4 linked regions of the Styela clava genome follow. The protein of the gene in region 1 interacts with the protein of each later gene in a pairwise test. Links are inferred from orthologs where the notes say so. Each region holds a gene or a part of one and is shown in the gene's direction. Other genes may lie near its edges.

Region 1 (7,767 bases):
CTAATTTGAATTCTTCTGAACCTAAACAGCCTATAACCCGAATATATGGAAAATATTTACTGAAACATTGGGATAGATAGTATAGTATAGTTATTATTGTAAACAATTACAGAGAATAATGCATGATTGATAGTCTTAAATGTCTTCTAGAATTATATATCAGACGATATTGCAATTGTATTGTATTTGTGTAATGGGCGTGAAAATGTCACACAAAATGCAGACTAAATAATTATGAGTGATTCAAGGCTGAACAAAAATTCAATATAATTTGATGTGATAAATATGCAATATGGTCATACATGCATTGGAACCGTAATTTGATTCTATAACAACTTAGGTCTTAGAGAGTGTGGAATATAGCATCAGAAGTCTCATAAAAATTGTGGATAAAAATAATACAAAAAGTACACGACGAAATGAATCACGTCGCATGATGTCTTAAAATGTCTATTTGTTATGTTTTAACTCTCACATGGCATCTCATCTACGAGTCAGCATGATCTATGAAAAATGGTAATATTGGCAATACTGTAACTCGAATGTTCCCATCATGAAGCAAAACAGTTTGCATAATAGGTATCTGCAAATAGTTCTGATGCCGACACATGTATCGATAGAAGTATTGTATAAGACTTTTCTGTTATTATAGAAATAAGTAATTCAATTGGTTTGTGGACAATTTCTCCTGTGTCCCATCTACAATCTCCTTTTTCTCGGGTTTTTCAACTGGCAGTTTAATGATAGTTAATTAACATTGATCAATAATTTACACACATCAACAACTTCCTCTCAAAAGTCTAGAGTAGTTTTCTATTGATTCCTTATTTGCCATCATTGAATATTGTACTCGCAGATATATTTTTCGTTTTTTAGGACGTCATGATGATCAATTTAAAAGCTAGCTAATTCAACATAAAATGAATCAACCGTGATGAATTTGAACTGACCGTAGTGATCAACAACCTCACTTAAATTTGCTTGTTTACAATCCATGACTTTAGAAACCTTACTTGAACATTTAATATATATTCTATATATTCCCGTAACCAAGTTTCCTACCTCTGTATCATACCGCCCTAATTAATTTTAATTATAATTACCGGTACTTTTATTGATTAACAATATTTAAAATAATTTGGACGTTAATTTGGTTAGTTTTGGCTTCTATCTGGTGAGTGAAGCAGGGGTAGCCCACCTCTTCATGCATCCAACTTGGCAATTCTGATTGGGCAATTTGGAATTAGGTGACTCCAATTATAATCAGCTTGACGATATCTTTTGAGGAATATTTTTCTATCCACAGTATATAACTCTTTTTTGACTAATTCGGTATCCAATTCGGCAATCCAATTATTATTTGGTGTGGCCGCAGGGATGGCCATTTCCGAATACTAAGCTATTCCGGATACATTCTAAAATTGAAAATAACACATTTTTGTTTTAGTTTATTAAAACCCAGTAAATTAGGAAATAAGCTTCAATAGAAATATCAGAATAAAGCCACAAACCAACAGTATATGTACACAAAGTAATTGATAGCTCATAGCTATCAATAAAAAAATAATAGCAACTTGTGACACAGTCAGTTTATTAAAATTATTCACTCTGTACAAATGACCATATGAAAAGATAGCCAAGGAGTTGTCTGACGCTTTCTATCATTGGTACCATGATATTTCGATAATAGTCAAGTCTATTGACAAAATACTACTTCAGATAATTGTGTATATTTTCTAAGAGTAATAAAATTTATTGGCAATACAGACAAATGAAACAAGCAACAACAATCGAAAATCCATTTTGCCTTCGAAAATTCTAATATTTAAGCCTAGAGTATTCTACCTCTTACCAGTATATTTGTATATTAATTTATGTGAATCATATTGTTATTATGTGTAACATATTGTTGTGTTTGAAATTAGAAATAAATTATTAGAGGATGGATGACCATCACTGCCAGCCGCGCAGCCAGAATTTTCGAAATCGGAAATTCCCATTGCCGCCTTTAACACCCACCGCGATTCTGCGCTCGTTAAAAGAGCCGTCTTTTCAGCGTATAATGATCATCCTGTTACGTAAAATATTCAATCCATGACAACTACGAGATTCTAAAATATCTTTATATATTAATTTAATGTGTCCAACGTAACTCGCGGCTTCTTCTTCTTACGTCAAAAAAAACATTACTATTCGGTCCTTGGTGATCTGTGACCTAGAAGTACGAAATAAACTGCCTGATGTACTTAATTTTAATACGTATTTTTGCAATCTTGCCAACTCGTTATCGCCGTTAGAAAAATCCCAAATAATGAAATAAAATCTTGTTAAGTGTAGAGTATATTTCGTTTCATACAATGAATATACATATAAAGTTTAGCAGTGAATTTAAAAATACATATTCATCGCCGCGATTATACCACCTGTTAAAAGAGTCAACTTTTACAACAAATAATATGACAACGAATACATATTTTTCTGTTGTGCAAAGTGATGAATTCGTGACCGATTCGGGCATATTTAAAATGTCTTGCTTTATTAATTTAATTGTCTTCAATTTAACCTGCGGTTGCGTCGACAGAATAAAATCCTCACCACTCTTATATACCATTGCACCCGCGGTCATAAAAATAGAAACGTGTGGTAAACTGCCCGATTAATTAAAGTTTTGATCCCTATTTTGCGAATTCGGCAAATATTTAGATGTAGCCTGCTTGTTATTAGTGACTCCGCTCAATCGAAATGCTGCCACTCTGATTATTTTTAGATAAAACCGTTCGAAAAACCCATAAATCTGCTGTAACATCTCAGAGTAAAATTTATTTCATCACAATAAAATTGATTGAATATACTTTAGATTAATTATATTATATACATCCTCAGAACCCGGGAAAAAGTCGCGTTTCAAACCTTGTATCATTATTCGACGGCAATTTAAAGTAATGGATATTCAGGCAAATCCCGCCCTCAATTCGTGACGATATGTTTCTAAACGACGACCAAACATAATGTGTGCCAGAGGCACACGAAATTTTGCGATTTTCACTGCGTAGAAAAGCGTTTTTTAAATTTTCGCGGGCCTCAGTAAAACTTATATCGATTACGGTTTTATTTTCAGTATTTTAAATTGCCGCTTTTCAATCAAAAAGTTGCGTTGTCTCTAGAAACTCGCCGCCGATGAACGTATTTACCAGATTCACAATTCTGTGCGGGTACAAAAATAAAATAATTGTCATCGTTATCGTGGAACAAATTTGTGGAAAAATCACGCGCAAGTTTCAATCGAGAATGTTTTCATTCAACGGAAACGTCTTGAAAGCGGCGTCGAAAATGTGTGACGTCACACAAATATCCGATATTCTTATGAACGTTAATTCCGATATTCGGAAACGTGATATTCGAATACTTTATTCGAATTGGCCATCCCTGGCGTGTGGGAAAAGAATTTATTCATTTTTTTTATTTGTTTGCCAATTTTCTTCTTACTGAGTAATTGATTTTATGTCTCGCTTTTTTCACTCCCGACCTTATCATGCTTCGACGATTGTATGTTTGTGTGTGTGTGTGTGTGTGTGTGCGTGCGTTTATTAGTTTTGATACTTTTGGGTGAGCGAAGACGTACTACTTCTTTTATCAATACCTCTCCACCTAAAATATGTACGCTTTAAACCTTGCTTGAAGTTTCGTTTGCTTTCCCGACCATGTAATCAGTTTTATTTATTTTGTTTTTATCAATTGCTTTATCGTCTATTGCTGATTATGGAGTCGAAATAAACTTTTACTTATACGTATACAATTTAAGCCTACGAAGGAGTACACCATGGCCGCAAATCAAGAGCGCCTCGAAGCGGTGACCTAAACGCACATAACAACAGCTTGATTTACACCGTAACCCAAATAAAATCACATTTGGGACAGATATAAAGGGAAACAGGGTTTGCTTTTCATTTGTTTTCGGGCCTAATTAATTACTTGAAATGTAGGAGGAGGTGCACTAGTTAGAGCTTAGAAAGTGGTCGTCTTGACCATTAAGATTTTAAATGCTTTATCTCAGCTTTCACTCAAGAATTATGAGGAAATGTGGAAACAGGAATACCTGTGACTACCTCTTACCGGTACTGGTATTTCCAGACTTTATCTTTCTGACTTAGGAATCAGAACTTTGCTTTTTTTGTTAATGTACCGGTGCCGGTAGTCGACTTTACGGTACAGCAGTATCACTGGCATTTCAGCATTTTGTTTCTTACTTAGTTCTGTAGTTGTCTGACTTTATTATATTTACAGGCGCGGCGGTGTGGCTCAACGGGTTAAGCGTTAGGAATACGCTCGCCACCGCACCTCTAATTACTCTGCGTGGGTTCGCAGGTTCGAATCCCATGCTCGGATGGTTATGTGCGAGAGGATTGCTGGACTCCTCGCCGTCGTTGGGTGGTTCACGTAACCGCTGGTCGGTTACGGCTTCCTCCACCACCAAGTCCATGCTTCCGAAAACAAACAAGACAGTGTAACTAACTAATCCCATACCCGACTTGGAATGGTAACCGGACGAGAGGCCGTGGTTCGCCATATGGATAAGCCGTCTTATCGCCTTTCCTCTCCCCCGGGATAATTATGTAAATCCTATCCTATCCAATTTGGTGAACATTCTAAACAAATTTCATAAAAATTCTGAAATTGGTAAGTTTCGAAATTTGTAAATACAATACACTTTATATTCCAATATACATCTTTTTTATTAAAGATTTTGAGCAATAATACTAAATTTGAATAATCATACTCGAAATGGGAGAAGAAGTAATGAAAAAGACGAGAGATACTCTCGGAAAGATTATTAAAAAACCTCCACTGACGGACAAGTTGCTTTCAAAACCACCGTTTCGATTTCTACATGATATATTCACAGAGGTTTGTATGAAAATGTTTTTGAATAAGTTATATCTCAAAATTACGATCTTGATGGTGTGACTTTTGATGAAAATTATTTGCCTCCTAAATTAAGCATGTACTATCCTTTAAAAGCGAGGATTGGCATATCAATCAATATATGAAATAGTTGGCTATTCCAAATAATAATTGCCAAACATCATCAATATTTTGGGTTTAAAATAGAAAAAAGCTGTTAATGGTTAATGTGATAATTTACTCAATTAGTACCACAAAGGAAAAAACGAAAATACTTTTACAAAATATTATGATTTTTTATCATATTTGTCCATAACCCATTTGATTTGTTCAGGGTATTCGATAGTGGGTTTTGAAAATGACAGTTTTTGTAAAAAATTCTCACATTTTACTGCTCAGCTGTATTTAAGACTAATACGATTTCTGATCTAAATACAGTCATAAAGACAGAATGATTACAATTAAAATTAGTGTGTGTACCAGGTTAGGGTTCGGCCATAATTTAATCCGATTTTCCTTATGTTAGTTCAGTAACGAGTTCGGGCCCTCCCCATATGTTTCAGTCCCTCCACACAACTTGATGTAGAGTAGGCGAACAAAATTAGTTACCTCAATATTGGAACACACACTTCTGGAGCGCCGTCTTGTTTGTACTAGCTGATATCTAATAATGTACTGTTGATTATTGTTATAACAAATATGCAAACTTTCTAGGTGATCAGAACAACAGGATTTTTAAATGGACTGTTTACTTCATCAGAGATGGATTCTAAGAATGTGTCTGTAAGTTGTTTAGTCAGATATAATTTAATTTTTTATCGCATTCATCATAAATGATGGGAATAAAAACAGTAATTATTAGTTTAGATAAACCATCTTGCCGTGAATAAGCCACTCTCTGTTAAGCAAAGAAATAAGGCCCTATTCTGAATTTTAACCAAAAAATTTTTAATTTTTATTTTGTTGGGGATCCTATACATGGAAAGCGAGAGATTTTTACGGCCTTCAAATTTTTGTAATCGTTCAGGGCAAGAAAATATCTTCCAGTGGTACCAAATTTTTTTGATACATTCTCCCCTTGGCTCATTTCCCCAACATGTCAGAGTTCTGTTTTCGGTTGTTCTTTAATCAATAATGGATTATAAACTAGTGATCTGCATAACTTGCACTCTGAGTTTTGTATGCTTTATTTGAATAGTTTATAATGTAGGCAAAAATATGTATTATAATAATATCACACAAGTAAAAGATATTAGTAATACTATGGAGAAAAATTTCCTCAGGTAAAACATAAATTTTTTTCTTTGGGGTTAAATTTCACCTCGATTGGAAAACACTGTTGCCATTAATAACCCATGCATGGCCATCCAAGTCTTCTCATCCTTTTACCCTTCAGTTTTTAGATAGTTATGTTATTTACTCCATACAGATGCATGGACACTTTTCACTAGCAGTTTCTTCTTTGTTTAGGCAAAAGAAGATAAAATGGCATTTCTTCAAAAAGTTATCGACGTTGTGTCAATAGTATCTGGTGACCAACTAGCTGCTAGACCATCAAAAATTGTCGCAGGACACGAGCCTGAGAAAACTAATGAATTACTTCAAGCGATTGCTAAATGTATTCATAAAAATGTATGTTGTTGATCATTAGTACCATAATTGAAATTTAATTTACTACTAAGTGCTAATTGTAGGAAACATGATTTCAAACATCTCATTAGAGGTAGTAGGAAATTGTGTATCGAACTGCAGGTCTGTTCTCATTGCCTACTTCAGATTCATATGAAGTGGTTGTTGCCACAAGGATGCTTGAACGAGATAGTATTGAAAGATAAATAAGAATATCATAATCTCTCCCCATGAAATAGCAAGCATATTTGAGAGCTTCCATTAGATTATAGTCCCTAACTTCTTCAGATAAAACGAGACATAAGCTAATTAAACAGTGAATAATACATAATGTATTGTCATCTAACAAAACCTCCATAATATACTTGCTATTTGGGGAAAAAATGATGTCATTCTCATTAGCCACAACTTTTTATTTGAAATCCAAAGAGACACATGCTAACTATGTTCTAAGTCTAATTTTTCTGATATTTTTGTGTATTTGTTTTCTTGACTAGAATCTTGTTTAGGAAGAGAATCAAATATTTTGTTCAAAATTTAATATAGGTTTCATCAGATGATGCAGTTCAACAAGTCCTCACTGGTAAGAAAACATCATCAAAAGTTCAAGAGAAACCTCCCACTGGATCTTCAAAAAAGAAAGAAGGAAAAGAAAACAGGTTATTATTAAAATGAATTTCAGCTTTTTTTTTTTGTAATACCAACTCTTGAAACAGTGGCTGCTGGACCTTCAATAAACACTCATATTTTGTAAACATGCTTTAAAGTAAATGGTCTACAGATGCTTTGACGCAATGCCATAGAACAGGGTGGTCTAAGGTTGTCAGCTCCGCGGGCCACAAAATCATTTTTGCATTGCTCGCAGGCCTCAATAGTGCCAGGATTAGGTGAACAGTGCAATACAAAACAGACGCTTTTATTGTGCAAACACATAGTTATCAGACATTGCCATCCAAGGCTAATAGAATCCGCATTAGATTTTTAGTTTTCTATTGTTAGCATGTATTCCCGACCAAAAAGATAGAAAGCCAGATAATAATTTAGACTGTCAAGCACATCATTCAACTTCGCTAGTTGCCTCAACTAGCCATAACACTAGTCAATTCAGTGACATTAGTGGTGTAACAATATGTAAAAAGATTTTTTTCTGATTAATTTTATTACAAAACAATTCGAAATGCTATTTTTTGATTACTCTCCGAATGTGACACGAGCCACAGATAATGAAGCGGCGGG
Region 2 (7,198 bases), on another chromosome or scaffold:
ATAACGACGCAAGAAATTTACCAGCTTATCGCAAACACGACCCGCCTCGAGCAAAGACCTCGGTCGACTGCACGACTTCTCTCTACTTTCGGGCCCGCATCGGCGAAGCGAAAAAAGAACCTCGGAGAAAAATAACGTCTGTATGTCACAGACGCGGGGGCAGAAAATTCCTAGTTTTGAAAATCGACTAATTAATTTAGCATTGTTATATCTTCGCTATACAATGAGAAGTATTTGAAGGGAGTCAATTGTTGAATTGTTATAATTGATTGACAAAATGCAGCAATCTCGGCTAGTCTGCACCCTTGCAATAATGAATTGAAGCTGAAAAGTTTTGGAAAACAATTAACCATAATGGCAAATATCATTTTATGAATCTTATTCAACAAATAGATTACCATTTCAAGCAAATTGAACTTTAGTATTTTTGCTAATTTTGTCCTCGATATTATTTTGTCGTCCTCTCAAAAAAATATAGAAACATTATACCAGAGATTTTGGACTAGCTTCTTGTTCATTCGCTTTGCGTTATGCTGTATCCATAAAAGTTATCCATTATAGTGTCCAAGCTAGCAGTCCTTTAAACTCCATAGAATACAATTTAGTGATCTCTATAGCCTCATTACAATTAAAACTGATATTTTAAAAATGAGTCCACGTTTGAGCGATTCTAAAACTATAACTGGAATATTAACACAGCGTCCTCTGAGCAACTCCACTCTCAAATGTGGCAAATGTTCGTTTGTAGTTAGTTACTATATTTTACCAATCGGTGCTAAACCATCGGAATCGGTTCCTGTGAAATGCGGAAGCTGCAAGTACTATCAGAGCTGCTAAATGCGGAGCATGAGGACATCGCACAAATAACAAACGCGGCGGGAGAGTCAAAGTAAATGGTGATAAAACTGGTGCAACGGATGTTGATTTGCATGCCTGCAACTGGGTTCAATTAGCAAGCTTACGATAAGCTGTTATTCTTCTCAAATCCCGAATGGATAACAAAATTTCCAGCGATAAATGGCTAACTAGATTTTCTATATTGGGGAATCGACTATTTTGATCTATGCGATACATACTGTTTCAAACTTACCCTATTTCATATAGTTGCTTAGCGAAATATAGGTAAAGAGCTGTTTATCTACAGTGTATATCTGAAACGCTTTACACTGATAGTATCTTAACTATGCAACATATAAGAACATTACATCGCCGCTTTTTCAATAACTTCCAACGTTCGCCAGGTTCCTTCTTTATTTGTTATGGATATATGGTCATCAACTAATGCATATACCTGCGTATATTGTCACTGTCAATAAAGCTATTTAGTAGTACGTAGTTATGGAATAACTCCGTAAAAATGAATCCAAAAAAATTCTTTATTTTTCGACACCGCCAGTTTCATATATTACCCTTCCACATACATACACTGCCGCCGAGTAAATCATTCTTTTCGGAAAATGGCTAAAATGCGTGACAAAAATGTGAACTACATGGCGATAGTTGTTGTTTCGTTTCCAGCGCAACGCAGGGTAAGTCCTGAGTCATACATCGTCAAAAGCATTAAAATTGGTCAAATTATGTGTGTGAATTTAAAGGCCCAATATGCTACTCAAACAAAAGAAAACAGAATAATAATGGCCAAAAGTACGCCAGCCCAAAATTTTGGTGGGGGCCAAATATATATTGTATTTTCAAGCAATGATATTGGGTCTGAGACATCACTTCTTTAAGCAGAAAAAGACCACATTCGATCGTTAAGGAAAATAACATTCAACAACTTAGCTGGCTTTTTGTAAATACAATATTTTTTCCCGAACAACTTTTTCTTTGATACAACAAATATTTATGAGGCAATCTGAACCAGTAAAAACCCGTCCTTCGCTTTCCGCCAACTATGCTCGCCACAACCCGATTGATCTTCTCCTTAGTGATCCTTTCACGATGACAATAAAGGACACACAAATCGAAAAGGGGATTGGACGTCATTGATGGGCGCAGCCATGTCTTGACCCGTTTCCTACAGGAAAAAGAACGCTCAGCATTAACGGTTGTTGCTGGTAGCGTCATACCGATCTATATTGCCGTGTGCACGTTTGAATAATCTCGACTGCTCAGAAGAAGCTCCTTCGTCGTTGACGTCGGAGCTCAAAGAAGATCTCCATAGTCTCACTTCATTCAGGAGGTTATCCAACAAATACAAAAGCTCAATCTCATCCACCCGGACTGGTTCGTTCGGAGGAAGAATTGATAGTGAAGCAAAAAACGAGGGGTTGCCAATGAAGCGTTCCCGGATAGAGCAGCTCAAGCCGTCGACGTATGGAAGATATACGGAACGTTGGGACTGGGACGCTGAATCAGCACAGATGTTGTCGTGATAAACTTGTATCTCGACTACTCTGGGCATTATCAGATCTTGGTAATCTTGGAAATTTGGGAGGGGCCATGGCCCCTCTCGCCCCCTGCTGGCTACGCCTATGATAATGGCTTTCATTGTCAAGACTGTTATGTTCTATGCTTCGAGTAACATACCTTCGCGTGGACATTTGGGAAATGGAAATTTTGCAAAGCATCTTCAATTTCGTATCGACACCGGGGGTGGAGATTTGATACAAAAGGAGATTCTCGGGGTAGCAAGCAATATGATAATGCAAGATATAATTATGGAGAACGTTTGTGTCCGTAAGGGACAGAACAACTAAGCATTGTTTTAAGATATGTGAAAGGTAGCGAACTGTTTTCTATCATATAGAACCATTCTGATAGAACCATTCGCGCGCATACTCCACGCGGTCGGAGTCAGTGTGCGTCAGTAAAGAGCCTCACATCCTCCGTTTAGAGCGTTCTCACTTAAGAACGCAATGAATCGGACATTGCATCGAATATTTACAAAGAAACTTGTGAAATAGCTGACTTGAAAGATTTTACAATACCCAGAGTAGTTGAAGTACAAGTTCAACGCGACAACGTCTGTGCTGATTCAGCCTCCCAGTATTCCCAACGTTCCGTATACCTTCCATATGCCGACGGCTTCAGCTGCTCTATTCGGGAACGCTCCATTGACAATCCTTCACTTTTTCCTTGATATCAATTTTTCACCCGAATAAACCAGTCCAGGTGGATGAGATTGAGCGTCTGTATTTTCTGGATAACCTCCAGAATGAAGTGAGACTGTGGTGAGCTTCTTTGAGCTCCGACATAAATGACGAATGTTTGGAGGAGATTCGTCTGAGCTCTCGAGATTATCCAAGCGTGCACACAACAATACAGATCGTTATGACGCTACTAGCAAGTAGCAGCAACTGTTGAGGCTGAGCGTTTTTTCTTGTATAAACGGGCGTAGACATAGCTGTATTTGTCACCGTGAAATGGTCACTGAGTGGAATATCGGGTTTTGTCGACTGTCGAGCATTTTAGTGTGATTGCAGCATTAAAAATTAGCCCCAAAGCTGCGACCAACTAAGCTAAAATTTTCACATCAAAAATTTTGATATGGTGAAGTATAACAAACATTTAATTGGGGTAATCATCCACTGCGGGAGCAGTTCGCTTCAATGGTTACGACTTTACTCGCACCCAAAGTACATACCTCCCGAATACCTCCAATTTTAGTTTAAATTTTTGAGATAAAAACGACATCTGTCGTTTAATATCGGAAATAGAACATCGGTAACCAAAATTTTTTTTTAATAACATAAGTGAAATATTTTACTGTTAACAACTCGTTTTACCATCATTACAATAAGCGTTATATACAGCGGTGGGATTCAAATGTTTTGTCAGACGGTTCCATCACAAAAGTCATATTTTCCAGCCGGTTCTCAAAAATCGGTGTCTCAGGTAAGATGCAAAAATCCATTGACAGTAACCAGTAATGCTAACCGGTTCGCTGATCTCAGAAAATTCCGTGAGACGGTTCTGTAGAATCGGTGCAAACCGGCTGAATCCCACCACTGGTTATATATCCATAAATGTTACAATTATAACAGTAGAGTAATATTATTAACATTTGAATAAAAGATGTAAAGAGACATTTTTGAAAGGATAGTCATCTATTTATTTTAGTCTACACATCTATTTATAAATTTATATACATACCAACAACCCCACAACCAAAGCGACGTGAAATTTTGAAATAACAAATCCATTGTTGCGTGAAGAGGGTCAGGGGTCATATTATGACGCAAAACGTAAAATGGCGGCAACTCGGGTTCAGTCGCTTTTCCTTCGCTTTCGTTTCTGATTTGTTTTTGTTTTGCCTATTATTTGCAGACAATCAGACATTTGAAAGACACTAATTTGAAATGGAGTTAGCTTGGACAATAGTTTTTACCGTCGAGCGCAAAATTTTCAAAACTGCATGATGATACAGATACGTCACAGTGATAGGTGCATGAATTTTCAGCTTCTTGACGTTGAGGAGTTTCAGAGATGGAGGTCCAGTGACTGATTGCAGAACCGACTTACACGCATACACTACCCTGCTACCGGTACCGTGATTGCTACTGTCTGACTGTGCTACCAAATGCTGAAATGAATAGCCTATTATTGTTTTTGGTGACAAATTTAATTTTTGTAAAATGTTTCTCTTTGTTAAATTAAAACTAATGTTGAAAATTTTTTTTCTGCAAAAATGCCATTCATGATAAACTTTGAAACTCCCAAATGCTATGGTAATTTTTTGGGTCTGGTATAGTTTAGTACCACATGCATTTCTAGTTGGCCTGGCTCAACAATTTTTGCATAGGCTTTGCATAGGCTACCGTATGTCAATCCTAACCCCCACTTGACTACGTCACCGAAAAATTAGGTCATCTCGACATCACAGTGGCGTAATAAGGCCCACCAAAGTATGCGAATGGTCGTCCAAAACGCGCAGACGATCACCCGAAATCGAGCAAGCTATTTTTCTCGTTTTCTTGTCACAACGATCACGATACTGCGATAGGACTAGGAGACCAGACTGAATTCCATGGCAGGTGCACGCCCGAGGTTGCTAGCGCTCCGCATAAATTCATGCAAGCAAATTCAATTTTGCACGCCGAGAATTTGCAATTGCTCACCAATGAAAATTGGTTTAATTGGTTTTTAAATTAATAATCCAGTAATATAAAGATGCCAACAAATTGTAGCTCCACAATTGTCGATTTCATACCTGCATACAGACATACTAGCTTGCAAGATTTGGCCTGGTCAGAAAATGCCTAAGCAAAAAAGATCATGTTTTTCATAATTGCTTGGCGGTATGGCGCATCGTGTTGATTGATAGGGACTTCGTGAGAATAGTTATGGGCGAATAGATCCCCAGACTCCTCGCAGACGCTGGTCAGTCACGGCTCTGATTCGGCTTATTTTTTATCCAATGATTTTACGCAAAAACACTCCCAAAATTGATGTCAAAAAATAAAAATAATGTTTGTGGGTCAAATGTCAAACGTTCATTTTTTAGACATTTGAGTAAGTAATGACAAAGTATATAAATAGTAATACAATACAATACCGGTAATTTTAGGCGGATATATTGAACAGTATCTAAAGTCAAAGTCAGTTGCACGCGGGCGCAGTTGCTTTGCACGTCGTGAGCTATAATTGCACGCCGGGAATTCTGATTTGCACGTGGGAATTTCTGATTGCACGCCCGATTTCTCGTTCAAAATGGCCATGAAATCCAGACTCGATAGGAGAGAGATCGCCGGCTTTACCGAGTTCGTTATCGCGACGCAGATGCCATTTCCGGGCGATCGTAATTATAATTTGGCAAGCCCTATGACGTAATGGTGATGTCGTAGTGACGTGATTTTTGGATGGCATAGTCAGGTGGTGGTTAGGAATAACATATGCAAAATTCGTTATGCTACGCCTACTGGAAGTACTTGTTGTACTAAACTATACTAGACCCAATATTTTTCTTTGGGTAAATCAGATTATTTTTTTCTGAGTAATTTTTAGATTTTGTCCCCTTGAAGGCCCAGACTGGCTTGTTAAAGGAAGGAGGGGGGGGGAGGTTGCATTCATTGATATACGAATATATGGAATTGCGCAAAAAAACTACAAAGAAGCGCAATCTAAAAACGTCATAGTTGACTCCCTCGGTGAAGAAATAGTCCGATTTACAGAAGGAGAATTATTTCTATCGTCTGACCGTGGCATTTGAGAGTTTTTAGCAAAAAATGGCAATTTTGGTCATGTGCCAGTGTGCCCGCCACGATTATATTAGATTATAATCGAGGCAAGCATGGCACCATATGACGCATCTGCCGTTGTGCCAGACACCCCTCGTTTGTAAGACACATGGAGTGTTTGTTTTATTGAACCAAATGACGGGACATTCTTGGAATTTGGAAAGTGTGCAATGAAAACAAACACTTCATTTGTCTCTGAAACAAGAGTGTCTGCCCCGACACGAAGGCAGATGCATCAGATCGTGCCATGCTTGGAATGCCCCAGTAAATATTTAATTGACTGTCTCTACAGACTGTCTCGTAAATGAGGGGTTTGCTCCTACTGTTATAATCAATGTCTTTCAATATAGGCGATATCCTTGAAATCATAGAACTTTGCTGTACGGAATGGATAAGTTATTGCTAAATAAATAGTGAAATCATTCGAAATAAATTTACTCTAGAATTCGAGAGTTTCTAGCTAAAACAGTCCTGCAGTCAGGAAACGAACTTTCAATTGTAGAATTGAATCGAATTGATTTATATTATAATCGCAACAAACATGGCACGATGTTACGAATCGGCAGTGGTGCCAGATTCTTTCAGTGCTTTTTATTAATTTCCGTAAACACTGATTTTTAATGTTAGTAATATAAAAATTGTTGTTCTTTTTATTTCAAAACTTTAAAATTTCTAGACAAGGTTATATTAAATTGTTTCATTTTTTTATGTTTCATTTTAAAATACATTTTTTAATAATTTTGTAGGGTTTATTATTTTTATATCTGTCAAGTTAAAAAGCTGGTTTATTCTGCTATTTTTTTACAGTAATTATTGAATAAATAAAGTAATAATTGAATATATTGACATAGGAGTAAAAGTTGACAAGATGAAACTTTTTGCACATGTTTTCAATAATGCATTTTTTCCATTTTTACATGCTTACTCAATATGAATAATATTGTAATATAACTCGGTTCATGGACTACTTTCTGTATAATGCTCCATACTGGACATGATTTGGGTATACATTAGAAGTA
Region 3 (7,837 bases), on another chromosome or scaffold:
GTAGAATAATAAACTCTGTTTTCCATTTTTTCACATTTTAATTGCTTTCGCATTGCATTTTTGTTTCTTCCAACTTTTATTTCGGTAACATGCAACACCAAATTAAATGACAAGAAAATGGAATTTTCTATTCGATGGATTGATATGTGTTTGACAATAGTTAAAAGTGATCTATTTACCTAGCAAAATGTTTTTATACCAATGCACTATGACTATATGAATCTGAATATCTACAAAAATGCTACCGGAACAATATGAAAAATTCATGACTACATTTTTTCTATCCTTAATTTTACAAAATTCTATTCAGGCATTCCCCATTATACTGAGAGATATTTGGAGCTTTATAATGTTCATAATTTTGGCAGATTCATTGAAATTTTCGAAGCCACCACCAGATAAGGAGTTTACATCCCTGAGAGCTGTAAATAATTTTCTGCATGCACTGTGTAATGGAGCAAAAGTAATATATTTTATTTGTTATAGTGATCTTCATAAACTAGTTGTTTAAATAAAACAAAATCACAGATTGTGAATAGTGGTTATCTCTTCTGCAAAGGAATTAGAATGGTATGATAATTGCTAAGGTTACGACTTCTTCTTCATTTATAAACAGGCTTGTAGTGCGTTAGAGGTAGCCTCGTCATGACGTTTTTGCTGGTATTTCACTGCAAACTGTTTTCTTAAATGTTTTCTTAAAGAAGTATATGCCAAGTCCACGGGTCTCGGTATCCTGAATCTCCTTGTTACATATTCACAGGCAACTAAATAGTACAATTGTTGAGATTATATTTATTAGTAGTTCAACATGTATGATAAAATAGGCACAATGTATTGTTAAAAAGGTGGCATATTGTTAAAGGAAAACTGCATTCATCACTCTATAAAACCAGACAGTAACTACTGACAAGAAAGAACAATAACACAATTTGACGGGAAATTCTATCATTCATTAGTATTCAACACGTTCAGTATCCATATGAAGTCTCAGACGAATTTGAAAGTCAAATTGATATCGTTGACCTTGCATATATTGATTTTTTTTAAATTGGTACATTACATGCGGTGCTTCAAAATGGCCACTGCTACCTGTGACAGGTAAATGTTGCTACATATACCATTGAATCTGTGTGCAAAATAATTCATAATATTTTGTTTGTGCTAGATATGCCTTTGTTAATTTGGAAAATGAATATAAATATTCAAGCCAAATTGACATAATGGGTGTAGGAGTGATGCCACTAAACCCCAGTCAGAATCCAGAAGCATAATATTCAATATAATCTACAAACAAGTTTTATTTATAAACATTAATTCCACCAGAAACTTACAGAAAAGCTTTTATCTAGCGATCTAACATAATGCCAGTAACCAGGAGGTATATAAAGCATCTGGCCAGGCAGTAAAATACATTCTTCCCTATGATTACGATCCATTTCAGTAAAAAGTGGAAAATTTGTATCATCTGGCTTTTCAACATCAACTTTTGATGTGTTGTTTAACATTCCCTCATGGGGGTAGAGAGCATTCTCATGTGAAGGATGATATAACCGTACATATTTACGTCCCGCAACTTGACATAACAGATTGTGTTTTTTGTCATAATGACATGGTGAAACAGTGCCACCAGGTCCAAACCAAGCATTTATTTCGGTATCAGTATCAGGGTCCCAATCTGGCATTTTTGAAATACAGCAATAATCTGGAATACATATGTCATTTCTAAGCAGTGGGATTTGATCAAAAAGTGTATGTTGTGCTAAATACGCTTTTGATGTACAATCATCATTAAATATATATTTTTGAATGAAATTTGAAATAGTCATTAATTTTTGACCCCAACTTTCATCAGTGTATTTAGCACCAAGTTCTACAGGTACAAGTCGGTGTCCTGCAATATTGTTAAGATACTGAAAATTCCATTTAGCCATAGCAGGCCAATGATCAATGCAATCGCTAAGCACCATGGGAAGAGCATGGTTCATAAAATCTTGGAAAGAAATTAAAGATGGATTTGATAAGACTTTTATTGGATTATGTACTTCTGGATCTAGTTCATAATTTTCAGTGTTTTGGGTCTCAATATATTTCGGTTGGGCAGGTTTAAAAATTTTAATAATTTTGTGTAATATACCATTCATTACATTATGGCCCATTAGCAAGCCCATGTCAGAGACTCTACAAATTTCTATCAAATCGTCATCTGTTGTGGCATTATAGCCCAAACACGAAGCTTTGAAGACACAAGCAAATGAATATAGTTTTTGCCACACAAGCGGGACATTTTTCCAATGAAAAGAATTCAACTTTTCCCATGTTAAGTCTAGTATCATTTCTGCATTGTCAAGACATTTTTCAATATTGTTTTCATATAATAATGTGCAACATTCTTTTAAAATGAATAATGAGACATTGTCAATCTTATTGCAACATACATGGAGACATTGTACTATTGTATGCTCCATTTCTGAGTCTGTGCTAGGTAATGTTTGCTTAAGTTCAGATTTGCGAGTAGTAAAATGTAGTATTGCTTTCGGAGATTCAAGGTTAATACTCTTTTCTGAGGTCAAGAGTTGGTCCACCATCTTCATAATTCCCTGTGATCTCAGCGTTACTGAAATCGAATCCTGGATTTTCGAGTTCAAATCTTTCGAGAGTCAAATTTTTTTGCATTTGATCTTTCGTTAAAGGGTCTACAGCAAATTCTCCACCCTCAAATAATGATGGCCAAAAACAATTTTCTTTCTTGCGACTGCGTTTCACAAGCAATATTCGGATTAATTTTTGATCTTCCACACTCCAAGTTGATTCGTCCACCAATATTCCTTGCGGTAGGGGGCTGTTAAATAATTCCTTCCCCCTCACAACGCAAGATAAATGCTGGGGTTCAATCACCACATTTACTTCTTTCCCCCTTGTCCCTTTCTCAACATCAACAACAACAACCACGTCCTGCACAGTTTGATACCAATTACCCCAGGGAGTCTTGCAACATGCAACACCGCTTCTTTCGTCGAAATCGCTATTCATTTCAAAATGTAACTCCAAGTAAACGGAAAATTCTACGAGAATAAACCGCTCAACTAGTAGCAATCGCAACCATGTAACAAATGCTTTTCACCGAATAGGCTATGATGAACTTATGCTAAAATCATGGTTAATTAACCATGCTAAAATCAATCCTCCACACAAGAGTTCCAGTGGTGGATAAGATTCTATGCGGAACGTCACCAATCTTCCGTAATTAGTGGGCAAGAATTTCCATTTTTCTAAATGTATTTTACAATCTGAGATTTCATTTTTCTTGTATTAACAATTGTGTAAATATATTTTTTGGCTACTACACGTTTTCTTGGATTGCATGATGTAACTACGGTATTTATTTCCGCTCAATCAATGACTATTACATGCTACTGAAAATTTGCATCGTAATTTCACTGCGACGTGTTAATGTTATCGTCATCTTGAATGTGTTATAAGTTAGATCTAGGCTATATGATATCTCGTTTTCTCTGTTTTACTGAAATTGTTTTCGATTTATATTTAGTCTACTGGGTACCGGTAAGCTGGCAAGGGCGACAGGTTCGCCATATGGTTAAGCCGTCTTATCGACTTTCCTCTTCCCGGGATAAATATGCAAATCTGCTCAGTTCAGCAGTTGGATGGCATTTTAGATTCATATGATAGGCGCTCCATAGTTATGTAATGTACGGTAACTATATAATATAAGTAGGCCTACTGTTGTCATGAATCTCATAATTTACTGTGATAAATATTTTTTCAACGTGCAATAGTGAAATAGATGGACAGATTTGACAATTTTTGATACTCCAAACTCCAAAGTTTACTCTTTGTGCAGTCAATAATTTATTGCTAGAATAGAAATGGTTTCTGGATTATCGTAATTTAGTTCTGTAGTTTTGTTCCATCTTTGTCAAAAGTTCGTTAATAGGCTAATTCATATCTGCTTTAATTTATATATGTCTATTCCTGTACTGTTGTAGAAATATTTTTGTATAGAGTTGCAATGCAGTTCTAATTAGTTCTCATTTAAATCCTTGTCCGAATTTATGTTTATATCTCATAAAAGCGCCATGTGTACTCTTCTTTTTCTTCAATCAAATTAACTTAATAAATAAATTATATTACTGTTGTATCGTTACCTCCCAGTCATACTGTGAACTTTTGTTCCACTTATTTTGTTATTGAAATTTTTTATATTATGTGTTTTGTTTGACGAAATAATAAATTCTCTCTTTTTTTATCACTGACTTATACTCCTGTGCTTACTCATCTGTAATTATTTACAGACTTTTTGATCCACAGACGTTTCGCCCCCTCAGACCATTCCAATCACTAGATGGCATATGGCGATTTGAGTTATGACTTTGACATGGCAGTTTTTTTAAATTATATTAAATAAACACTCAAATATTTTAAGATTTAAGTGATTAAGGATATTTATCCACCACATTAGTGCCATATATGGGCAACCTGTGGCTTCTGTACAACCTTAACCCTGTAACCCCCTACCCATGCCCAAATTTCCTATGAATCCACATGTATTTTTAGGCAACTCCAATGCCAATGTATTATTAACAAAAAGATTAACTCAAACTGTCTTATTTGGCAGAAAAGTCTGTTGGGTGAAAAGTCTGTTTATCCCCTCACATATAATCACCTCCCATGGGATTTGAACCTGTTCAGGGTAATCAGAGATGCGATGGCTTACCATGATGCACCGACTGCCGAGCTGATTCTATTTTAATCCTAGTGGATAGGCAGATTTTGCATATGTTAACTATTGCATCGGGAAATCCTCAAGTCCTACAATTAATTACAACTGATTTCCCAAATTAATATTTGCAGATAATTTGGTTGTAATCATGTTTAAAAACTTGAAACAGAAAGTATCTACTGATCAAAAAGTTCGAACTCCACAGTCTGCCAATCGGGGTGATGCTTCAAGCACACCCACTGGTCGTACTGGAACATCTAGATTGCCACGACCATCCAATTCAGCGCCACCCAGGCGATCCAATTCTGAGAGTTTGAATGGTGCCAATGGTGCAGCTACTAAACAAAATAATGAATCCATGGAATCACCAGATATTGTACAACAGGTGGGAAATATATCAGGTGATGTTTCTCCCAATCCTTCAAATCATGGAGAAACGGATCAAGCACAAAAAAGTGCTCAGATAGCTACTGAAGCTGAGAAAAAAGTTCCATTTTTCAAGAGACTAGAATTTTTGACTCCTCTTAAAGATCAAGTTGCAAATAAACTTTCGGAAAGTAAGGAATCAATCAGTTCTCTCGTTGACGAAGTTCGTGGCAATGTAACAGGTTCTTCCAATGAACGATCTAAACCGGATATTGTTGCACAAACTAACGATCGTCGGCGAAGTGATTCCATTTCAGATACAGAAGAAATATCAATGAATCGGAATGCTATTGATGTAAGTGCAATTCCCAAAGAACAACTATTTGCAAAAGTAATGAGACTGGAGAAAACTCTTCTTAAATATAGAGAAAGATATGCAGAACTTGCTTCTAATTTTCGTGAGGCGAAACAAGAAAGAGAAAAGTTGCAATCAGTTATGCAACAGACCCAAGATAAAAATCTACGCAGAATTCAGGAACTCAAAGAAGCCGCAGCGTTGGATTTGAAAGCCAAAATGCATCTCGAAGAGGAGTTTCGAGTTTCTCTGGAAGAAAAAGATCAAATGATACAAGTGCTTCATACTCAAGTTGCAATTCTTAAAGATGATCCGCAGAAGTCTCCACCACCAGTACAAACTGAAACTGCTCAAGGCCAGGGAGATGATTCAAAGCTTCAAAAAAGGGTCAAAACCTTAGAAGAACAACTCAAATTTGCTAAAGATACTTGTGAAGGTCTAAGAAGCCAAGGTGATGCTTTACAAGAACAACTTAGTGAGCGATTAGAAGAATTAGAAAACCTGAAAGATTCGAACGTTGCGGAAAAGTCGAAACTTATCAAACAATTGCGTGAAGCAAAAAACGTTATTGAGAAAATTGAAGAGGACAAAGTCACTGCTGTTGCAGAGGCCAAACGACAAATGCATGAGATTCTTGAAGGTAAAGATATCGAAGTAGAATCCTTACATCAACAAGTCAAGAAACTGCAAATTGATCTTGATGAATTTAAAATGAAGAAAGAGCAACGGGAAAATTCTTTGTTGGAGGAACTTCAAAAGGCAGTTACTATTGGTAGAACAGCAGAAGCTCAAAGAGCTGATGCTTTATTGAAAACTGAAACTATACAGAAAGAAATGGAAGGCAGAATTACAAAGATTGAAGAAGAATTTGATGCGGAAAGAAAAACTTATGTTTCTGAGGTTTCACATGCAAAAGCTGATAATCTTGATATTAATGAGAAACTTGAAAATGTAATGAAAAAACACAAAAGTGATTTAGAGGCTCATACAAAAATGCATGAAGTTGCATTGCAAGAACAAGCAAAGAAATATAAACTGGAATTGGATGAAAAAGAGAATCAAATGAGATTAGCAATTGAGGAGAGAGAGCTGAATAAAATGGCTGCAGTCTCACAACAAGACACTGAAGCTCAGAATTTGTTGAAACAACTAGATACAGAGTTGGAGAATGTTCGTCAAAAAGTGGAAGAGCTTGAAAAGGCAAGAGTGGATGAGGCCAACAAACATGAAGAGGAAATTACCATTCTAAAAGACAATTTTCAAAAGGCGAGTGAAGAACATAAATTCGAACTTGACAGCCTTAAAAAATATCATGATGATCATATGACTTCGAAGGCTCAAGAGTTTTTAGAAAAATTCACAAATCAAAAGAAAAAGTTTGAAAACAAACTTCAAACAAAAGAATTGACATGGACTGAAAAGTTAGCAGAAGCTGAGAAATCATACTTACAAGAAGTTGACGATTTGAAAACACAAGTAAATGAACAAGGTAAAGAGAGGAACGAACTTTTTCAGCAACAAGCAGAGAAGGTTTCCCAACTCGAAAAAGAAGTCACTCTGTTGAATTGTGATAGGGAAGCCTTAAGTATCAAATTTTCGCAAATAGAATCTAAACTTTTTGAAAGAGATACACAATTGAAGGATTCTTTAAACGAATTAGAAGAAATCAAAAACAGTGCAACTAAAGAAAAAGAAGATTTGAATTCGAATATTGAAGCAAAAGATAACATAATTAAAGAACTAAACAGTAAAATGGAAAACTTGCAGCAGGACTTTTCACAGAAAGAACAAGAAAGCTTACAGCAGAATGAAGTTTCTCATGGAGAACTTGAAACGTTGCAGGAAAATCTGAAAAATTTACAATCTCAGAAACAGGAACTTGAACAAGCTTGCAATGCTGCTGAAGAGAAATTGAAACAAAGAGAACAGACAATGAAAAAACATGTCTTGGATATGGAGGAAAGCCATAAATCTGCAATCGGTGATTTATCATCACAGTTAGATAAAGAAAAACAGGAATCTGTGGTGAAAATTGCTACTTTAGAAAAAGAGAAATTGGATCTTCAGAAATTACAAGAAGAAACAAATAAGAAATTTCTTGAAGCTGGTGGAAGATTAAAAGCACTTGCCCAAAAATTTAAAGCCACTGTTAAAGAAAACCAGACGACTGTGACAGAGAAAGAATCTATGATTGAGAAGTCTAAAACGGAATTAAATGAAATCAAAATAAAATTAGAACAACTGGAAGGACAAAATAGAAAAATGGTTGAAAATCATGAAATGCGATTGAAAACAATGGAGTCTGAATGGGAAAACAAACTGAAAAATGAATTAGAAGGCTTGAAGGAGAAATCTGAAAAAGAATATGATGCGTTAAA
Region 4 (7,485 bases), on another chromosome or scaffold:
CAGTGTATTTTTAGCATTATGAAAAAGTGAACACTAATAACTGATAAATCCCAATATTCAAAAATGAGAACTTACTTGACTTTCTGTTCCACCACTCTCTTAGGAGTTGGCCCATAAGATCCATGGTTCACAAAAGCACATGATTTATCCAAGAGAAACTCATCCTTCATTTCATCTCCAAACTTTACGTCTTTCAAATCCATATTTCCAATGCGATACCAAAAGATAGATTAGAAAATTTAGATATTACTTTGATCTAAATAAGTAATAAATTGCTATAATATCACATCACAACAGAGAGAGAAATTTTGAATACACTGATAAAGTATTTTCTGCATGGTTCAAATATAAAATATATTATGTTTTATTTTTTTTACACAAGATTTGACCCCAGGAAGTAATGACCCAGAAACTATTCAAGCATCATTGATTCCCAAAGGTGAAATAGCTTTCAATTCAGGTTTAATCAAAACAAGATTGCCCTCACGAGAAATTAGATTAGAGATAGAAGAGTAGCAGACAGCCACTGACACTTGTTACTCACATAATGATTTTTAAGTGTTTGTTTTCCATATAAGCTCCAATAAAAACGGACAGTGAAATTGCTTCTCTGTTGGTTAGTTAGCAACAATATGCACTAATAATTTTATGTGCGTAAAAAAAGACTCCAAGAAGCAAGAAAAAATAAAATAATAGCCGCCCAATAAGACAGCCCCCCCTAAAATCAGGTCAAAAAATTGGGTCGAGAGAAGCGACTTAATAACCAGGAAATACTGTTTATTGGTATAATCTTGGATAACTATCTTGACTGAAACACAAACTAAAACTTGCTGCTAAAATAAGTTGACTATTGCACAAAACAAAAACAAAAAAAATTAATCACGAATAACTTGTGCACAGGAATCACAAAAAAACTGCAAGTCTAAGTTCCTAGTAAAAAACCTAGAGAAGTTTTAGGTTTCTAAATAAAGTATTCAATATGGCCAAGAATTCGATGCAGTATAAAAAGAGCATGTTGGTTGTCCCGAATTGGCTTCCTACGTAACAAAAGTAAACTAGACCTTAAGACTGAGGTTTTATAGAATTGCTTTAATATGATCTTCATTTTAGTCCAGAAAAAGAGGGCTTAATCATATGATAGTAAGTGAGTCTATAGTCTCGTCACCGGGTCGAGAATTACTAAACAGTCCGATGCAAAAAATAGGGGGTAACAAAGAGGTGTCGGCTAATTGATTTGGATTCTAACACAAGCCTTTATTACCTAGACTTGCATACACATATTGTGAAAAATAGAAAAATGAGTATGAGGAACCACTTTCTAATATCAATCTCAAGTAGTTTGGATTATTTTTGTGTTGTAGAGGCAAAGAAAATCCAATCAATTCATCCTTTCATCGGCGAGGAATTCGTGCAATCTTTTCCCATTATTGCAGAATATTTCTACTCTCAAAGACTTTATCCCGTTGGCTTTTTAGTTGTCGCTTCCACTCTACTTGTGCGTTTGTTAGTCGATTCATCATCATAGAACTTGTAGAACTATGCTGCCTCCGATGGCTGCGAAAGCGCATATTTTCGGCAGTTTCAGATGAAGTCGAGGGTCGATCTTCACTGACTAAATTCTGAGTTTCAACTCCTTGTTCTCGATTCCGCTTTTTACCGATAAAATCAACTAATCCAACAATTGCCAAATATGAGAATAATATTCCAATTAAAATCAGATACATCAGGACAACAACCTCCATAGTCTTAGTGCTTCGTACTTCATATTTACACTGACACAAGAGGCAGTATTGTTCCAGCATTACGCCAGATATATTTGCCCAATTCAATTCCGGAACGACAACATCTAAACAGTTACATTTTTCTTGAACTGCATCTTTTGTATAAACCTTTCTCGGAATATTGAGAGCAATAAGTTGTTTGCAAGTGCAGCGACACCGAATGTCATTGAATTTTGCTTCTGCCGATATCTCACATAAAAGGTTACAAATAGTGAGTAAAAATAAAGTTAGTAACGACCCCTTAATAGTAGGCAACATGATTATTTGTCCGTTTAATACTATATCTAAAATATTCTGAGAAGATGAAAACATTGTCAAGCAATGATACTAAATAAAGAATCAAGAATCCGGTATTCATTTTCACCAAGTAAAAATGTGTCTATGTGCCTAATTAGGTAACAAACAAATCAAAATTATATACAAAGAGGTATGATATTACTGAATTACAACACCATTTGCAAATTTATATAGTTTTTATTAATTTTTAGACGCAGAAGCTTTAGAAATAGGATAAGATTTACATGTTATACCCGGAGACCAGTCTGGATTTCATGGCCTTTTTGAACGAGAAATCGGGCGTGCAATCAGAAATTCCCGCGTGCAAATAAGAATTCCTGGCGTGCAATTATAGCTCACGACGTGCAAAACAACTGCACTCGCGTGCAACTGACTTTGACATCAGATACCTCTCAATACATCCGCGTAAAATTACCGGTATCGGATAAAAAAATACGTTGAATCAGAGAAAAAATGGACGTTTGACCTTTGACCCCAAACATTATTTCTACAGTTTGTCGCTAATTTTGAGAGTGTTTGTGCGACTTTGGATACCGGTACTGTTCAGTACATCCGCGTAAAATTATTGGATAAAAAATACGTTGAACCAGAGCAAAATGGACATACTTTGTCATTAATTTTGGTAGTGTTTTTACGTAGAATTAATGGATAAATAATACGTCAAATTAGAGCAAAATGGAAGTTTGATTTTTGACCCCAAACATTATTTTCATACTTTGTCACTAATTTTGGGAGTGTTTGAGCAACTTTAGATACCGGTACTGTTCAGTACATTCGTGTAAAATTATTGTATGAAAAATACGCTGAATCAGAGCCGTACTTGGCCATTGGTGCGGAGGCGATCTTTTCGTCCATAACTATTCTCACGGGATTCCTATTTCCTATCATTCAACACGATATGAACCTTTCCCCGAGCATCGACTTCCTTGTTTACTTCGTGACATTGGCCAATCAGCAAGATGCAAAAAAGGACGTAACAATGAGAGGAATTTTTCGCGGGTCAAAGGTTGGGGAAAGGTCCATGGTCTTTTTGCTTCGCAATATTTCGATCAGACCAAATCTTGCAAGCTGGTATTTGTCGACAATTGTGGAGTTATAATATTTTGGCATCTTTATATTACTGGATTATTGATTTTAAAACTATTTAAACCGATTTACATTGGTGAGCAATTGCAAATTTTCGGCGTGCAAAATTGATTTCGCTCGCGTGCATTTTTGCGGAGCGCTAGCGCCCTCGGGCGTGCACCTGCCATGGAATCCAGTCTGGCCCGGAGATACAATCAATTTTTTTTTGGTCACTCTGAAAGAAACAAAACAACAACAAACAGACAAACAAAATGCAGAGGACCTGGGCATAACTTAATAGAAAAGTTAAAAAACAGACGAGTGCGTGCCCGTCCACCAAAAACAGTCAAAAGAAAACAATAAAATCAAGACACGATGTAAAATCGAGCGATATCTTTCAAATTAATTCTTATGCGTGATTACAGAAAAAATTGATTGATCAGTGAAATTTTTTTACAAAACAAAAGTTAATCATGAGAAAATGAACTAGGCTATGTACAGTATGTGAGAAAGTGGCATGCATAGACTTGCTACAACAGACAGAATCGTTAAAGCAGACATGTACAATTACAACCGTCTGCACTCCCGAAGGTAACAGGCATTCAACTTCTTATTTACAAAAATGTACCGGTAATGATTTAGAGCTTGCATTCTTGTGCGGCTGTTTTTGAGAATGATACCGGTAGCCTACATAAAATAATAACCTCCAGTCGAACGCTACCGGTACCGTACCGGTGCCGGGTACGGTATGCTGTGAAATGTAACTGAACTGTACCGGTAACTGTTCTCCATTCTGCACCCGATTCATTCTGGTAATTATGAATCAGTATCTCTTTGTATCGCAGTGTCAGCCTCCTAAGAGCCTTGTTTAAAATAAAAAAGGACAAAGCCCGTGTATAAAAAAAAACAGGCTATTCCAAATATCTTCTCAAAGCCCCGTTTGATCCCAAACTGTATTCGCGCAAAAGTACCTCAATTCGCGCAAATCTTCCAAAATGTTTTTATCATTTCGATCAAAGTCCTTATATTTCGATCGGCTGCTGGCGCCTCGAGAAGAAAGTGGTTGATAATGTGGTTAACTGGGGAAGAAGCCGTCTATATTGTTTTATTGCAAATTTATAATAAATGTTATCATAAACAAAAATACCTGAAACATTCACCCACTCGTGAAAACTTTTAAAAGGTCAGTTCACCATGAACGATTTGTGGGAATAATACCGTTAGTGGCGATAGAGATACATTCTTTGTTTCCTCAAGTTACCAAATTTATGCCTGATGTCCTACATTCAGACCGTCATTTTTCTTATTTTATTGCTAAAAATGCATTTTCAATACATTTTTTTGGATAACTGTATTTTAGAGCAAAATATCTTTAGTTATATCATATATCTTGTTTTAAGTTATCAACATAGAAAACGATTTTTTGCAAAAAGTAAATTTAAAATCTGGCATATTGAAAAAGAAAAAAGGGTATTTTTTGAAGAGCAATCAGTCTAGTTTCCTTGTACATCGACTAGTTTGCAAAAATGAATATCACCATCGAGTCGTTGCTTGCGGACGCTAAATATCTTGTTACAAGATTGAAGGTAGAGTATTTCAATGTTTTGACAGTTAATAAAGGCTTCTACATATAATTCAATCCTCTTGAGGCAGACTTCCGGCTTTTTTACTGATTCAGGTTTTGATATTTATCCCTGGGAAGGGAAAGTCAATAACTGGCTGACTAATCCCATACCCGACATGGACTGGTAACCGGACGAGAGACTGTGGTTTGCCATATGATTAAGCCATGCTATTGTCTTTCTTCTCCCCCCCCCCCGAGATAAAAATGTAAATTCTATCAGTCTATCCTAGTCCTAAGAAAGCTTAATTACATGGCGAACCACAGTCTCTTGTCTGGTTCGCGGGCCATATTGGATATGAAGCTCATTCAACCAGTTATTAGTTTTCAGATGCATGGACTTGATTGTGTGGTAAGCTGTAACAGACCAGCGGTCACATGAACCGTTCTGTTTCTTCAGATATTAGAATACTGACTTGTGGCTATTGTATGTCAGTTCATGTAAAGGCTGGTTTGTTACTGCTTACTCCAATGTCCAAGAGCAGAAGTGCGAGTACCTGTAATGTTGAACTATAAATTAACTTACGTTGATCAGTATTATAGTAGACTAATAGTGAAAAATATTGGTATGTCTGTATATGTATGTATGTATGTTTACTAATATATCAAATTCCTTCTCTGTTGGGAAAATTGTGATGTCATAGTCTTTCGAATCATTCTAAACCACTAAAAGGCCCTGTGAATGTACTAGTTAAATTAGTGATTTCTAATCTTCTCTCCTGGTCAGACCCAAGTATAATTTTATTAGTTTGAAAGCCACGAGCATCTAAAAATCTTTTGAAAGTTATTGCACCCTGGATTATGAACCAACTAAGTGATATTTCGATCAGCCAGGGTTTATGCGGGCCACACAATTGAAACAAATTTTGGTACTCCTGTAGTATGTGAACCAAGATGGCGGAGCCAACATGCTTCTGGAGGTCACAAATTTTCAGTGCTTTCTAGCATGCACTATCGAAAGATTATTCTTTTATTTTCATCTATTATCCCAGGATCATGACAGCGCTGCTGAAAGTCTTGCCGAACAGGCTTCAACTCTCAAGAAAGAGATGGAAGCGAGAAACACATATCAAGAAAATTTGATTGAACTGAACAAAGTTGCTGGACACAGACCAAGGTCTACTTTAGTCTTAGGTAAGACAAATTTTTAAAAGAACCAGTGCTAGCTTTGCTCATGTTTTTAATGTGATATTTTTTATGATTATCTTTGCTTGCCTGTATGATATTTCCGGACATGACGTGATCGTTTTTTTATCTTGTACTGAAATTTCAATTCGAAATTGGTAATTAAGAATTAATTATCTTAAATTAGTGGTTATAAGGAAGTGGTGGAAGTTATTATTAGTTTGGAATAGAAAAAAATGTAAATATTGTAAAAATGTATAAACCAGTGGTTCCCAACTTTTTTTGGTTTGCAACCTCCTTTGGTGGTTTACACATACCTCGCGACCCTCTGCCTCACTTTCTGTACTTTCCAATAAAATAAGCGGTAAAGTGAATATTGTGTAATTTAATTTTTCATCAAGCTGCAGCTGTGATGGCTGGCATTGAAACCGCGTAGCCAACTGCGTAATTCGTGGTTTGAGTTTTTGACAAAGCTAATCTCAAGATGTATGATAATCTTCACAAACTACAAGCCTACCCTGCAGTAGACCCCTTGGTATTGAAATCCTGTTCCACAGCATTGCTTCGAAGCCTGTGTGTTTACCGCGTCACGGCGCGGAAATGCAGACGAGTTCGTGTGGCGTCACAATGGTTAACATGCCATATACAACTCGCGCAGCTTGCCTCTTTCGGAGGCAAACGAGAGTCAATTCCAGACTTCTTCTCGTTCTATTGGCAATATTTAACCTAGAGCTTTGTACTATTTTCTACTGTTTGGCAAGACCTTCGCGACCCCCTTGAAAACCCGCCCCGTCTCCAGGTTGGAAACCACTGTTTTAAACAAATGTGGATCTCAAATAATACTTCTGATAAAAAAAAAATTATGTTTGCTAAATTCACACTTTTATCTTCAAGGTATTCAGCAAGAAAATAATGCAATTCGGTCCCTACAACATGAGAATGATGAATTGCGACAAAGTTTGACCGACCACCAGAACGCATTGGAACTTATCATGACTAAGTACAGACAGCAGATGATGAAGTTCACTAAGCACCAAAAGTATGTGGATCTTGTCAATGTATTTCATAATCTCAGTGAGAGGAAAGTCTGATTAAATACATTTAATGCTGATAAATACATTTATTCCATTTATACTCAAGTCCATGCCCACAAAAACTAATCCCATACCTGAGGACATGGTTAGCCATATGATCAAGCTGTCTTATTGTCTTTTCCCTTCTCGTGGATGAATATTTAGGCTATTTTCTATCCTAATGTTGAAAAATAATAATGAACTTTCAATTGGCTTAAAATATCAAAATCAATCAACTGTGACTAGAACCACTGGTTATAAACCAGTGGATTTTGAGTTGGGCCACAGAACTGATAAAAATTGCTAGTTTTATTTATATTACAATAGTTAGTTTTGATTTTAGCTACAATCAATGACAATGCTGTTTACTGCTAATAGGTGGTAATTCCAATTCAAATAAAAAACGTTGAAGTGCCAGTTTTCGCAGAAAGATCTTGATTTCACTTCCAGTTTTCCCCTTGCAATAAAAAAGTTAATGGGCCACAAGAATATTTGGGCAATAAAAATGGGCCATGAAAGAAAA

The links.
Region 2: the proteins of TRAF3-interacting protein 1-like (region 1) and structural maintenance of chromosomes protein 3-like interact in a two-hybrid assay, tested with the Homo sapiens proteins (2 studies listed by BioGRID and IntAct). The link is inferred for Styela clava from reciprocal best matches to the Homo sapiens genes TRAF3IP1 and SMC3.
Region 3: the proteins of TRAF3-interacting protein 1-like (region 1) and uncharacterized protein LOC120335522 interact in a two-hybrid assay, tested with the Homo sapiens proteins (2 studies listed by BioGRID and IntAct). The link is inferred for Styela clava from reciprocal best matches to the Homo sapiens genes TRAF3IP1 and GOLGA4.
Region 4: the proteins of TRAF3-interacting protein 1-like (region 1) and FGFR1 oncogene partner 2 homolog interact in a two-hybrid assay, tested with the Homo sapiens proteins (2 studies listed by IntAct). The link is inferred for Styela clava from reciprocal best matches to the Homo sapiens genes TRAF3IP1 and FGFR1OP2.

Annotation. Positions count from the first base shown.
Region 1 is NC_135261.1:18,105,740-18,113,506, reverse strand, and holds the start of TRAF3-interacting protein 1-like, read left to right. Parts: upstream 1-4,744; 5' UTR 4,745-4,782; coding exon 4,783-4,905; intron 4,906-5,616; coding exon 5,617-5,685; intron 5,686-6,372; coding exon 6,373-6,534; intron 6,535-7,077; coding exon 7,078-7,190; intron 7,191-7,767.
Region 2 is NC_135259.1:4,477,037-4,484,234, reverse strand, and holds the start of structural maintenance of chromosomes protein 3-like, read left to right. Parts: upstream 1-4,197; 5' UTR 4,198-7,198. UniProt on the Homo sapiens protein: Central component of cohesin, a complex required for chromosome cohesion during the cell cycle. The cohesin complex may form a large proteinaceous ring within which sister chromatids can be trapped.
Region 3 is NC_135251.1:16,301,480-16,309,316, forward strand, and holds the start of uncharacterized protein LOC120335522, read left to right. Parts: upstream 1-4,837; 5' UTR 4,838-4,886; coding exon 4,887-7,837. Other genes in the region: bifunctional peptidase and arginyl-hydroxylase JMJD5-like, read right to left, coding at 1,311-2,585; nudC domain-containing protein 2-like, read right to left, coding at 2,548-3,030. UniProt on the Homo sapiens protein: Involved in vesicular trafficking at the Golgi apparatus level. May play a role in delivery of transport vesicles containing GPI-linked proteins from the trans-Golgi network through its interaction with MACF1. Involved in endosome-to-Golgi trafficking.
Region 4 is NC_135254.1:4,415,717-4,423,201, forward strand, and holds the start of FGFR1 oncogene partner 2 homolog, read left to right. Parts: upstream 1-4,481; 5' UTR 4,482-4,669; coding exon 4,670-4,729; intron 4,730-5,756; coding exon 5,757-5,898; intron 5,899-6,783; coding exon 6,784-6,928; intron 6,929-7,485. Other genes in the region: uncharacterized protein LOC120332696, read right to left, coding at 76-203; proton-transporting V-type ATPase complex assembly regulator TMEM9-like, read right to left, coding at 1,425-2,093. UniProt on the Homo sapiens protein: May be involved in wound healing pathway.